2 linked regions of the Alligator mississippiensis genome follow. The protein of the gene in region 2 purifies or fractionates together with the protein of the main gene of each other region. This does not show direct contact. Links are inferred from orthologs where the notes say so. Each region holds a gene or a part of one and is shown on either strand. Other genes may lie near its edges.

Region 1 (6,962 bases), on a different chromosome or scaffold from region 2:
GTTCTGGGTGAGTGTAGGAGGTAGAGAGGGAGGCACTAGGGTTTCAGGGGACCAAGATGGGTATAGGGGGTTCATGGGGGTATAGGAGGGCTGTGGGGGTGCTTGGGAAGGCTGACGGGGATTTCAGAGGTGCCAGGGGGGAACCAAGAGATATAGGGGGGCTATGGGGCTTAACAGGGCAGATGGGGGAACCATAGCAGGTATAGCGAGGCCATGGGAGTAGTGGTGGTACTGGGGGGACATGGGAGGTACCAGGGGGTCTTGAGATAGCTATGGGGAGCTGTGGGAGTACCAGGGAGGCCAGCAGGGATATCATGGGGCTATGAGGATACCATGGCCTCTGGGGTAGGGGATGAATTGAGAGGCAGGGTGTCAGGCAATGGGGTGGGGGCTAGGGGAACTGGATGGGAGATCCATGGCTGTGTGGGGGGCAGGGGGGGTACTGGGGACCCATGGAGGTACCAGAGGGCTGTGGAAAGACACTCACCCGCACACGCTTGTAGTCACACAGGTACTCCACCTCAAAGTGGCTGAGGTTGCGACGAGTGACACCCAGGTCGGGACATACCACCTTGGCCAGGCGGCACAGGTCCTGCAGCTGTACCCATGATGACTTGCAGTACACAGAGCAGCCTGCAGGGGGCACCACACAACTGAGAGGGGCTGGGGGGCCTGGCTCCCAATCCCCAGTCTACCAGACCTCCATTCCCTTTGAAAAAACAGTAGAGAACCCAGGTGTCCAGGCTCCAAACCCATGCTCCTCCAGAACCCCCATTTCCTTCCCAGAACCAGAAAATAACCCAGACATCCAGGCTTCCAACCCACACTCCACTGAACCCTTATTCCCTTCCCAGAGCTGGAAAAGAACCCAAGCACCCAGGTCCCCTGCATGTCTGACCCCAGGCTTGGTGGCCCTCAGTTACTTTTGCCAAGGGGGCACATGGAGCTTACTTACTTTCCCCAGGGGTCTCTCAGGTGTAAGACCATGGATCCTGCCCCCATGAGGGGCAACTTTTAGGGTGGGAGGGGGCATCTGTACAGGAATGGATGGAGGAGGGGACAGTTTATCTTTCACTTCCCCTGAGTGTGGCAAGAAGGAAAATGAAAGGGAGGGAATTGGGGTTGGTATGAGTTTGGTGAGGGGGGCTGCCACCCATTGCTAGGGGTTGGCATTAGCTGGGGGGGTGAGACTGTCATCTGGTTCATGAGTTGTGAGGAGGAAGTTGTCACCCAGTGCAAGGGGTTGGCCTGAGTATGGAGTGGCAGTCACTTGATGCCAAAGGTTGGCATAAGGGAGAGGACTGTTACCTGGTGTCAGGGGTTGGCATGCATGTGGGGGGAAATATCACCTGGTACCAGGGGTTGACATGAGTGTGGGGGAGGGGGTTGTCACCTGGTGCCAGGCATTTTGGGGGTGGCAGTTTATCAGTTAGCCAGGGGTTTCATTTGTGTGTCAAGGCCTGTGTCAGGGGTTGGAGGTACCTGGCACAAGTTGACTTAAGCGGGGCTGGGTCTTCCATCATCCATAGCAAGGTGGAGCCGCAGGAACCCATCAGGCCTGTCACCAGGTGTCAGGAGGGGCTCACTGATGGGCACAGGGTAGGGAGGTGAACATGATTCACTTCCTGAGGGACAGGGGCTTGGCATGATCTTGGTGGGGGAACGACACGGGCACTCCATGAAGGGTACGGAGTTGACATGGGCTGGTTGGGGAGGGGTTGGCATAGGCATGGCGGAAGTCAGGCAGGGCAGGGGCTTCACGTGACACCGCTGGTGGAGGCTGGGGGAACATCATGAGTGGCAATGGGTTGGTGTGAGTGAGGGGCAGCTTAGCACCCTTCGGGTGTTGCCCCACGAGGGGCAGGGGGTTAGTATGACCCTATCAAGTGTAGGGGGTCATATCACAAAGGGCAGGGGGTTAGCATAACCCTGTCAAAATGGGGGGGAAGTCACATCACGAAGGGCTTAAACCCATCATGAAGGGCAGAGCACTGATGTGACCTTGGTGGGGAAGCAGGAGGGATTGTGTTAGGAGGGGCAAGGGGTCGTTATGACCCTGTTGGGGAGGGTGAAGCTCATGTCATGAGGAGCAGGGGGTTGCTGTGACCTTGTCAAATGTCACATGGGGGGAGGGGCGGGTCATGCCATGAGGGGAAGGGGGTTCACGTGAACTTGTTGGGGGGGGGGGGGGGGAGAGTTACAGCATGAGACACTGAGCCCAGTTATAACCCTGCTGGCAGGTAAGGAAAGAGCTGGGGTTCAAATGGGGTCTTGGGGTCATGTTACACCATATCATAGTACAAGTGGCAGAACATTGGCACGACCCTGCATGACTGGGGGGAGGACATCAGTTCACATGCAACATGGTAGTTGGCACAACCCTGTTTCTGTATGTGTGGGGGCAACATGCGCATCTGTGTGTGCCTGCCGGGAAGCTTGGCGTGAGTATGGGAGGCAACAGGGGAGCATTCTGGGCAGGAACCAGTGCCTGTCTCTAACACTCCCAGCCACGGGCTCTTAACATAGGTTCATGGTGGGCCCCTCTTGCCCACCCCCGCCATTAGAGGGGGGTTGCAATGGGGGGGGGCTCTCCCCCATTGGGCATGCGAGGGTTCCTCGACCTTCTGCGCATGTGCAAGCACTAACAGTTCCCCCCCTTTAACGGTCGCCGCCGCCTTGCGCGCGGGAAAGGAGGGGAGGCAGCTCGCTCCTCGTTCGCACCTCCTCCCTCCGGGCTGTTTCCACCCTGCCACCCCACACCGCCGCGCCGAGCCGAGCCGCGCCGCTGCACACCGCACGCGCTGACCGACTGCCCCGGCCCCGCTCACCTTTTAAATTTTCCGCCATCTTTATATTCCCTTCCGCCAGCCACTGGGGCCGCCTGAAACGTCTCCCTCCCGCGGGGGGAGCAGAGGGAAGGGGGGGGAGCCCGAAACCACGCCGCCCATTGGCTGGCTTAGACAGACTGCAGGCGCTTCGAGCAATCGGAAGCCGATTTGTTCCCCGACCGGTGCCGCCCACCTTGCCTGCAATCCCGCCTGGGGGGGTGTCCCGCCCGAGCTATTTATTTGCATATTCTCCCATCTTGCGCCGCGGCACCGGGGTGGGCTTTTATTTTTCCTTTTTTGGCGGCCAAACGTTCCCGAAAAGACCGAGAATGGGCTGAAAATTGGTCCCGATGCCTCGCTACGTGTTCAAAAGCTCTATTCCTAGACTCGCCGCCTTTTTTGGGGGGTGGAAGAGATGCAGAGTGTTCACCCTCGCTGAGTTTCCCCTCAGCCCAAAAGGTCAAAGGGGCATAGGGAATCTGGACCCGCCCCCCAGTCATTAATTAGGGTCTTCAGCTATATATTGATAAGTATGTGACCCCCTCTCCCCCCCCCCCCCCCAGTCTTCCCCTAGCATAGTCATTTAGCCAGCCAAGAGTAACACGAAGGACTGGGGAGAGGTTTGGCAGGACTGATGTCAAGACCTGAGCACCCCTTGCCCACCCTCACACACACTGAACTCCTGGAGTCCTAGTCCAATAGATGGACAGACACACAGAAACTAGGCACCCAGGCTACACACACATGTACCTACACACATGCACAGAACCCAGGTGTCCCGGACACACACATGCACACGTGCTACCCTAGGAGTCCGGGACACATGCATGCACAGAACCTAAGTGTCTGGGACACATGCACATGCACACACACCCCAGGCATCTGGGACACACACACAGAACCCATGTGTCTGGAATACGCACACACATGACACCCAGGCATCCATCTCTCTCACACTCAAGCATAGAACCCAGACATTCAGGCCATGGATACACATACACATACGCACACACATAGGAAAACTAGGTGTTGGGACATGTGCATTTGCACGTGCACACACACACACACACACACACACCATGTGTCCAGGTGTTTGACAGTTGCCTCCCCCCTGCCCCACGTCTGGAACACACACACCAAGGTGAGGGAGCGGGTTGACATGACTGACATCTATCTGCTTCTGGGTTCCTGTTCTGTTGGAGGAAGGGACTCTGAACTCACTGACCCTTAATTACTTTGGGGGGGGGGGCATTTGCAAGACCCACTAGGTGGGGATAGCACCCTTTGGACAGGTATTTCCCCCCCTCTCAGTTAGGGGCAGGAGGGCAGGATAAGCCCCGATTCCCCAAAATGGGACATACCCCTCCCCTATTTCCCCCAAGCCAGTTTATGTCCCCCAATCCAAGGCTAGATCAGGCCCAGCACCCCAATTTCCTATATAGCCATGAGCAAAGGCAATCCAACCCAGAGCTGGCTGCATCCCACCCCAGACCTGCAGCCACTGGAGATATCCAAGCCAGTGGCACAAATTATGGTTTTAATAATGACTGGCACTACACTAATTGCCACGGGGGCTGATTTATTGTCAAAAAGAAAAACACAAATTAAATGGCTCTATCATGATCAAACACAAACAACCATGATCATGAACAACCATGGCCCATGCTATGCCAAGACATGATCAAGATGGCCGCCATACAGGAACCCATGCCCCCTTCCCACTAAAAAAACCCAGTTAGAAAAAGAAAGAAATGGCAGAGTGCTTTAGCATGCCTGAAAGGGAAAGGCATGCTAAGAAAGCAGAGCTCAGACCTGGCTTGTTCATTAGATCCTGCTGAGATCAGAAAGCAATCCCAAGCCCCAGCCCAGAGAGGAGTTTTGCCTACTACAATCTGCTCCAGGGGCTAATTTTCACCCTGCTCCAAACCCTCACTCCCCCCTCCCCCGGGGTATAGAGATCACTTCAACTCAAACTTGGCTTGTTTGTTAGATCTCACCAACACTGACACACAGAGCCAGGCTGGATGCAAATCCCTGTTCCAAAATTAATTGTGCCCCCCTAAAATCTATGTTAAAATCTGCTCTGACCTCCTATTCCTCCCACATAAAGATCACCTCCCGGGACCAGGGCAGGGGGATCAAAACCTGTAGCTATGTTGGAGACTAAACCCAGCCCTGGGAGAAAGCTGCCCCACTAAAACTTGTGCTAAAACCTGCTTTGACATAGACACAGAGTTTGCAGAGGCCTGAAGGCCCTGCCCCCCTCTTCGGAAGAGGGTAGGGGGACCATCTATCCCTAATTGAGCAGGACAGTTCCAAAGTGGGAACATCAAGCCCCGGTCCTGGGCTGCATGACTCCAGGACAGCATTTGTCCCAGTATTGTTGAGGGTTTTCTGTTCACCATGGAAAAACGAAGGAAATGGCAGATTTCCCCTTGCAGACTGGCAGAGTTCCAGCAAGGGGCTGCGGGGAGTGGGATGCGCCATGTCCATGCATGCATGCACACACATGCATGTGGCCAGGAATGCAACCCCCAGACAGCAGCAGGTAGAGAGCAGCTCCCCCAGCTGCCTGCAGGTAAGTCTATGGAGGGCATAAGTTGAAGCTCCCATGGTGAGGGAGGGAGTGGGGCAGGGGCTGGGTTTTGGGGCACTACCCAGCCATGGTGATGCATGGAGCCCAGGACCAGGACAGGGAGTGGGACAGAGCTCCTGGCGGTTCATCTGGGGTGGGGCAGTTCCCTGCCACTGCGTGCATTCCCAGTAAAAGGAGCATGGCGGGTCATATGTCCCCCAGGCTTATGTGCAGGGCAGGGGTGGATGTGGGCTGCCCAGTGTGCGTTCAGGGCTCCTTGCCTTGCTGCCCTCCCCCCAGGCTCCCCATGCCAGCTGTGCCACCATGGTGAGGCTCCACCTGCCTACCCAGCAGCAACAGAGGTGGCGGCATGGAGGTGTGTGCAGCTGGCACAGGGCTCCTGGGGGGATGTCAGCAGGGCGGGGAGTCCTGAGCCCACAGTGGGCAACCCGCATCTGTCCCTGCCCCTCCCCACCCCCAGCTCCGCTCAGCTCAGCTGTGCCCATGCCGGGAGTGGGGGAGGCGCAGCATCTCTAGCCCCCCCCCAGCAAAAATAAAAGTTAACACCTATGTTATATTGTATTTTCCTTGACACCCCCCCCCATTATAAAGATCACTTTACATCAAATCTGGTTTGTTTGTTTAATCTTGCCAAGATCCAAACACAGAACCAAGCTGAATGCAAACCCCAGCTCCAAGAGGAATTTCCCCCATTCCAAGCCCATGCTTAAACCTGTTCTAATCTCATGTGCTCCCACCCGTTAATCACCACACCCCCACCACCCAACATAAAGTTCACCTCAAATCAAATGTGGCTTGTTGGTTAGATCTTGCTGAGATTGAAACAAACTGAATTAAAACCTTGGCTTGTTTGTTAGATTTTGCCAGGATCAAAACCTGTGGCCACGCTGGAGGCAAACCCAGCCTGGGGAAGAATCTTCCACCCTAAAACACATGCTCAAAACTGCCCTAACCTCATATTTCCCCTATCACCAACCCCAGTAAAAGATTACCTCAAATCAAGCTTGACTTTTTTGCTAGATTTCACCTAGATGGAAACCCATAGCCAAAATGGAGGCAAACACAGCACTGAGAGGAAGCTCCCCACTAAAACCTGTTCCCAAACCTGCTCTGATCTTATATTTCTCTCTATCCCAACCCCTCACCACCCTCCTGGTATAAAAAGCACTTCAAATCGAACTTAACTTCTTGACTAAATTAAAACCTAGAGCCATGCTGGATGCAAACCTCAGCCTGAATATGAATATTGCCCTCTAAACTCTCCCTCAACCCTGTTCTGGTCTCATATTCCTCCACACCACCGCCATAGCATAAGATCATCAAAACTCAAGCTAGGCTTGTTGGTTAGATCTTGCCAAGATCACAGCAGCAGGGCAAGTTGGATTCAACCCTACAGGGGGGTAATAATTCCCCACTAGAATCACTAATGGTGCTAAAGGATAATAGAGAGAAGGGGGGGTATTCTGGGGAGCTAGGTCTGGGTGAGGGTTGAAGAGGGGGATTCTGGGTAAAGCTGAGGCAGGGGGACAAGGGTAGTG
Region 2 (6,826 bases):
GCGATGTGGAGCAGACGGACAGGGCGGGGGCCCTGGGGGCGCTCTGTGCTCCGACAGGGCGGAGAAGCCTCCTCACGAGGCGCCTGGCGGAGCCCAGCGGGGCCCGGGCCGGCGGCCGGGACGTGCGTGAGCTGCAGCCCGCACCCCGCGCTCCGGCCCGGCCGCTGCCTGGCGGGAAGGGAGGGCGGGAGCGCGGGCTGCCGGCAAAGTCAGGCGAGACAAAGTGTCTTCCTCCATCTTCCCCTTCAGGAGCCGGCTCTTGCCCCCGCTGCTCCCGTCCTCGGCCCGTCGGCGGGCTGCAGGAGCCCGGTCCCACCCCGAGCCCAACGCCGTCGAGCAGCACGAAGCCAGGCGGGATGGCAGATAACGAGCCCCGCTGAAAGGGGCTGCGAGCCCGGGCGCTGGCAAACCTTTCCCTGCACGCAGGCCATTTCCCGGACGGGGTTTTAAGAGGCAGATAAAGTCGCCGGCTCTGCTCGTCCGGCCGGGCTGGAGCGCGGGGCTGAGCCGCATGCCGGGCGCGGGGAAACCGTGTCCCCCGAGAGCGCGAGGGGCTCTGGCTCTGCCTGGCCCGCCTGTAAAACAACGGCGATAAAGTGTAAAAGTAACGAGCTGCCCCTTGCCCCCGCGTGTGCTCCTTCATGCGATCCCCCTCGGGCTCTTTACGGGGCTGCCGGGCGGCTCCCCGCGGTGCTTGCTCCGTGCACGGCTCCCGGCTCGGGGCAGTCTCGCTCTTCCGGGCCATTTTGATTCAGAGGGATCCAGTTTCCTCGGGCAGGGGGGAAACCGCCCCCCGCGGCGTGTGCCAGGCTCCCGGCCCCGAGCACGGCCGGCAGCGCAGGTGCGGAGGTGCCGCGGGTCCGACGGGCACGGGGGCTGCGGCGGCTCCTCTCCGCGGGGCCGCCCGGAACAGGCTGCCCCCGAGAAGGGGAGGGGGACGGGAGATATGCTTCCTTCTTCCCCTTCCCTCGACTTATTTTTACAGCTGGGCGTTTAAAATGGTCCCCCACTACTCCCGAAGTGGCTCCTTTTGTTTCTTTGGGGGAATCCCCCCCCACCCTTTCCAGGTTTTAAAAAATATAGGCATCCTTCAGCCGGCACTGTACTGTACGCGGGGCACGTGCCCCCCAGCCCTCCCTTTGCTCGGCTGCGGGGCGTCTGGGAAGGCTCACTTCGCACAAAGGTGGCGGTGGGGCGAGAGGGGCCCCTTTGCCGCAGCGGGGCGAGAGCCCACGAACCGGGCCCTTTGCCCCGCAGCTCTGCCAAGGGCCCGGCAGGGCCTCGCGGGATGTGGTGAAAAGCTGCAAACTTTCCTGGCAGAGCGGCGGGGGGCACCGGGCAGCTCCACCGACGGGCCCGGCGCGGGCTCTGCGGCCGACGCGCTGCGCAGGGGCCGGGGAGAGTGTCTGAAAATAGCAAGAAGAAAGGAAGGAGAGAGCAAAAAAAAAGTTGTTGTCATGCTAGTTGCTTCGTGGGCGAGGATAGGAAGCGAGGCGGCTGCTGGGGCGGGGGCCCGGAGGGGCACCTTCCAAGTGGGCGGCTGTCGCCCGGCGGGGCGGCCCGGGGAGAGGGCAGCGGGGCCGGGGCTTGCTCGGGGCCGGGACCCCGAGTCTCCCGCTTCGCCTCGCAGCGGGGCAGCTCCTCGGGAGGCTTATTCCTAGGTCTGCTTTCAAATTGTGTTGACTGGGAACATCCCGTTTAAAAAGCAGCTAATCAAAGGCAGGTTGTCGCTGGCGGGCAGCGCGGGGGGCAGCGAGCGGGTCCAAAGGAGCCTGTGGCTTTTCCCTTTTTTTTTTTGCACATCCCTATACAACAGGCGTGTGTGCGTGTGCGTGTGCCACCAGAGAAGGGTGCCTGTGCGTGTGTTTTCACCACCAGAGAACGACTCAAAAAGCATCTGCTTCTACGTCATGCAACTTACGCAACCCTTCGTCTTGCCGTCATATTTCTCCCCCCACCCCGCACCCTCCTCCTCGCACGTTTTCACTTGGAAAGGTAAGTTGCAGAGGCGAGGGGCAGCCAACGAGCCTGGCTTCCAGGAGGCGAATCAAGCCATCGGCCGCAGGGCAAAGCAGACGCGAAAGCGGACTGAGTTTGCTCCTCCACCTTGGTGCACGTTTAAATAATAATAATGACAATAATAATAATGGCAGTAAGAATAATGACAATAAGAATAATGATGACAATAAGAATAATAACGATGAGAATGATAATAATAATCAACAACGAGGACAAGGGCGGCGGAGGGGGAAGCCCCCGGAGGGCAGAGATGCGCGCCCGAGGCCGGGGGCTGGGGCGGAGGGGCTGCTTGATGGCAGCACCTCGAGGCCGCGGCCCCGCACCCCCTGGCCGCCGGGCGGGGCGGGGCGGGGCGGGGCCGGGCCGGAGGCTGCGGCGCTAGCGCGGAGGACCCTTGCAGGCGGGTGGGCCCCGGCCCGCGCCCCCGGCGGAGGCTGCGCTGACAGCGCGGGAGGCGGGCGGGGGTCCCGCGGCCCGCGCCGCCGCTGCCCCGGCCCCGGCCCCGCCCGCCGCCGGCCGAGAGCCCACAGCGCCCACTACCGCCCGCGCCTCCCGCAGCCGCCGCTCAACTTGCCGCGCTCAACTTTTGCTCAACTCCTCGCCCACCCCCGCGCCGCGCCGCGCCGCGCCGCGCCGCGCCCGACCCGCGGCCCCAGCCCGCGCCCGACCCGCCGGGGAGCTCTGCCTGCCCCCGGCCCGGCCCGGCCCGCGCTGCCCGGCGGGGCGCCCCGGCGCTGGGCGCGGGCCGGGAGGCTGCAGGTTGCACCGCGCCGGGGACCCGACCCCCTCCCCCGCCCCCGGCGCCCCGTGTGCAACATGGCAGAGCCCGGGTGAAAAGCCAATAGAAAGGGATATTGCACCTACTTGTGGCCAGTTTCCTTGCCCTGCCTTTGGATCGCATGCTGCCCGTCCCGCGGCGCTGCTGGGCTGGGTGGCTGCGTGGGGGGGGGGGTCCCCTTGGATCTTTTCCTCCTTTTTTTTTTCTCCCCCGCTCCCTCTCTCTCTCTCCCTTTCTCTCCCTCTCTCTCTCCCTCTCACACTCTCTCTTTCCAGGCTCGCTATCTCTCCAGCATTGTCAGTTTGGACACCTTCGCACATGCGCACGGGCTGCTCCCCCCCGCTCTTCAACCTCTCGGCGCCGCCAAAAAAAGTTTGGAGCGATCTATCACTTGGATCTCAGGATCTTGTCAGATGGCAATCGGCGGCGGGAGGGGGCCGGGAGCGGGGCGAGGACACCTCTTCCTCTCCAGCACAAACAACCTGGCCGGAGCCAACCAGGCGCAAACGCCCAGATGCTTGGGAGGAGCGGGAGTAGTTTTATTCCGCCATCAGCTGCACCGCAACCACCACCGCCACCACTGCTAATTATTAGTATTAATCACGCCTTCATTCATTAATAAGCCACCAGCCTGCGGATCAGATCTGGGCTTGGGAGCCCCCACCCTGTCGGGGGGGGGTATAGATAACACAGGACACCTCCCCGCTCCGGCTGTTGCAGAGTTTGAGGGGAGCACATGACACTTTTTGCACCAGCTTTTCTGTCACATCCAAGCCAGCCTGTCACCCTTGCAGCGCTGCCGTGGCTTATTCCCCCACCCACTCGCGACCATCAGTGCCTGGAAAGGCAGAGAGGTGGACGGGGGCTGTGTGTTGCATTATTGTGCATGCCTGGAATTAAGTGACAAACACACACACACACACACACACACACACACACACACACCCTCCACCCCCAGCTCGACTGCAGCTATCAGCACTTGGATAGGAAAAAAAAAAAAGCCCTTTGGAAAAGACTAATGCCTGGTCTTCTAATCTGTTTTAATTACAGGCTTTGCCCATCCAAGAGGGAACACGTTGAAATGGGGAAGTCCTTTAGGGGCTGGCTGTGTTCGAGGTATGAATCAATCCGAACTACATATAGATTTTCCTCGGGTACAACCTCCCTGCATTAAACAGTTTTGTTCAATACCTTCCATGCGCTATTTATGTTCCCATTAATATCTGTTGCAAATCCTGCCAGACACCATAAAAGAAAATTACAGTCTTTCGGACTCGGGGCTGCGCCAGGACGTCCACGCTGCTCGAGTTTTTGTTTTAATAAAACCCTAAGCATCGCTTTCTTTTTTCTCTCCCCCCACCCCCCAGCCCCGCTCCCGTTGCTGTTTGTCACCTGTTGGTGCTCACTGTCACAATCCTGGCTGTTCCCGGGGGAAGGAGGGGGCAGAGAGCAGTGGCCTCCCCCTCCCCTGAGCCGGTGGTGCAGCAGGACCGGCCGCGGCGGGACGGACTAAAGGGGCGCTGGCCCCGGCGGGGGTCGCGCTCGCCCGTTCCCACGCACCGGGACGAGACACAAGTGTCCCGAGTGCCTGCAAACAAGCCGGCGGCCGGGGCAGGCTCCCCGCCGGGCTTCCCCCAGCCCTGGCCGAGACACCCGCGTTTGAAACCTCCCTCTGGAGCGAATCGCACCTATTTTTTTCATAGGGGCAGGATAGGAAAACCGCGCGTCTCCTTCTCCTGTGGGGGTGGGGGGTGCCAGCCAGCCCTGCAGCCGTCGGATGGGCTGATCAGTGCGGCGCCTCTGCACCCACGGGCCCGGACACATCCCGGGTGTAACTTCAGGCAGAGGCCGCGGAGGAGGCAGTGTCTCCTCTCCCTGCATCACCTGCTCCTTCCCCGCTCCTAGGTGTAACCCGGGATCTCTCCAAGCCCCCGTCCCCCTGTCACCGAGCCATACCCCGGCCAGGCGCTGCGCCCCGCAGCCCAGCTCTGGCACCACCGCGGCCCCTCTCCCCATCTGCTCCGCACGCCCCCACCCCTGCCTGGGAGGAAAGGGCAGCAGGTGCTGCAGTCATTCCCCTTCTGCAAGGAATGACTGGAAGCATTTTGGAGCTGTGCTGAAAGGCTCGTAGGTGATCCGCGGGGTAATAGCCGATCAGCCCCGCCGGCCAGTGCCTGGGGAAGACAGTAGCTGGGACCACCGTCCAGGAGGCGGCTTCGTGGTGGGAAAGAAAGGAAGCCCCGCACTGTCAGGGCTGCGCTCAGCGGGGGGGTCTCTCCTTCCCCCGCACAAGCCCTGCGAGCACTGGGGGGTTGTCGGTTTCTCCCCAAGAGTTTTTTTATAGCGACAAATCGCCCGGGCGCTGCCAGATCTCTGCAGCCATCCAAAATGTTCGATAAACTTTGCAAAACTTTGCTTTTTTATTTTATTTTTCTTTCTGTTTTTCTTTTTTTCTTTTTTAACTACCTCCCCGGCCGAGCTCCCGGCCAGGGGCAGTCACAGATTCCTGCCCCGCTCCGAGACCCAGAAAAGCAGCAAGAAACCAAAAGCCCTGGATTTTCGATCGCTTTGCAACCCCGAGCCGATGAATGCCGCTGCCCCTTCCCCTTTGCAGCACATCTGCACAGGAGAGCAGGCGTGTTTGTTTATATGCCTCCCCGTGGCAGAAAGGGCAAGCGGGTGTTTAATGTATATATGCAGAGAGGGAGTCCGGTGAGCAGCCCACATGGGGCTCTTGACCTTGGGAGACTCCCGCTCCGTGTCCCTGAACGCTCCCGCGTGTCAGTTTCACTTGTTTCCAGTCCCGAGCCATCAGGAGCCCTGAACAGGTGTTTCCCTGCTTTCCAAGCCGCCCAGCAAACCTCTCCACTTTTATTTCGGCGGCATCAAACCCGATTTCCCGCTGTCCCGAGCTGCCCGGCAGTCGCAGCCCGACCCTGCCCAAAATTGCTCGCCCTCCCCAAGAGGTCCCCGCCGGACCCACTGCAAATCCGTTTCAGTTCGGGTTGTCACGTCTGCCCGCGCTGCACTAGCCCTCGGTTTGGGAGCTCGCAGCCTCCTGACCGCGGCGCTCGTTGCGGGGAGGGGGTGCGGGCTTGTTTTCCGTACAATCCCAACCAAGATTGTTTGTTTTCCGCTGCAGAAAAGGGTTGAACGCGAAATCTATTTTCATACATGGGTTTGGGTTTATTTGGGGGAGGAGGGGGGGAGAGAAGAAAGCATCCCCGAGATCTCGGCGCCCTCCACATAACAAGAAATTTTCCCTTCCTCCAATGATAATTGCACCAGCCCCGCAGATCTTTGGAGGAAAGTTGGAATTCTTCATCGAGGTATTTGTTGTGCTATTGTCTTTGTGCAGTGAACTTTACGTGGTGCTATTCAAGCCCAACCTAGATTCTCCTAGCTCCCCGTAAGATTAATTTAATCATTGTAATGTAATCATTAATACTGTTGACCCGACGCTTGGTTCAGGTTTGCTGTTAAGAAATGAAAGCCTCTTGCTGGGTGACCAAGCGCCGGGCAGGGGTTTCCACTCCGCGTTGAAGTGAAACAGCCCTCTTTATTTCGACTCACAACTCAGGCTTGCAGCCGGGAGCTCAATTAGCCAAAATGGAAACAATTTTCATTCATTGCAATAACTCACTGTTCTGCAGATCACTTTCAAAATATACACTTTATTATTATATGCTGACCTCAGTGCCGTGGAGTGGCAAGGCTAGAAAGAGGCAGGGGGATCTCTCTAGCCCCCTTGGGCTGTAATTATTAGAAATTAATTGGGTTCAGGACCCCGGGTAGCCCGGGTAAATTAATAGCTTGTCTAGTTGTTTCAATCCGAATTCTCAGTCCACGGGACAGAAGGGGAGGGAGACTCTCCAACGTGAAATCCAGACCCCAGAGACACCGAGTTGACTTGCAAGATCCGCGTCTCTTGAGCACTGGTGCCCAGAATAAAATTGAAAGAAGGGGGAGGACGGCACTGGCCGGCTGTGTAAAGGGGACCTGGTGGATGTGTTTGCCTCCGATTTTTTC

What was found.
Region 1: the proteins of MECOM (region 2) and SUV39H1 purify together in Homo sapiens (affinity purification with western blotting; 3 studies listed by BioGRID). This does not show direct contact. The link is inferred for Alligator mississippiensis from reciprocal best matches to the Homo sapiens genes MECOM and SUV39H1.

Annotation. Positions count from the first base shown.
Region 1 is NC_081831.1:28,365,186-28,372,147, forward strand, and holds the start of SUV39H1 (histone-lysine N-methyltransferase SUV39H1), read right to left. Parts: upstream 3,014-6,962; 5' UTR 2,848-3,013; coding exon 2,829-2,847; intron 634-2,828; coding exon 488-633; intron 1-487. UniProt on the Homo sapiens protein: Histone methyltransferase that specifically trimethylates 'Lys-9' of histone H3 using monomethylated H3 'Lys-9' as substrate. Also weakly methylates histone H1 (in vitro).
Region 2 is NC_081830.1:74,444,013-74,450,838, forward strand, and holds the start of MECOM (histone-lysine N-methyltransferase MECOM), read right to left. Parts: upstream 3,016-6,826; 5' UTR 2,921-3,015; coding exon 2,884-2,920; intron 1-2,883.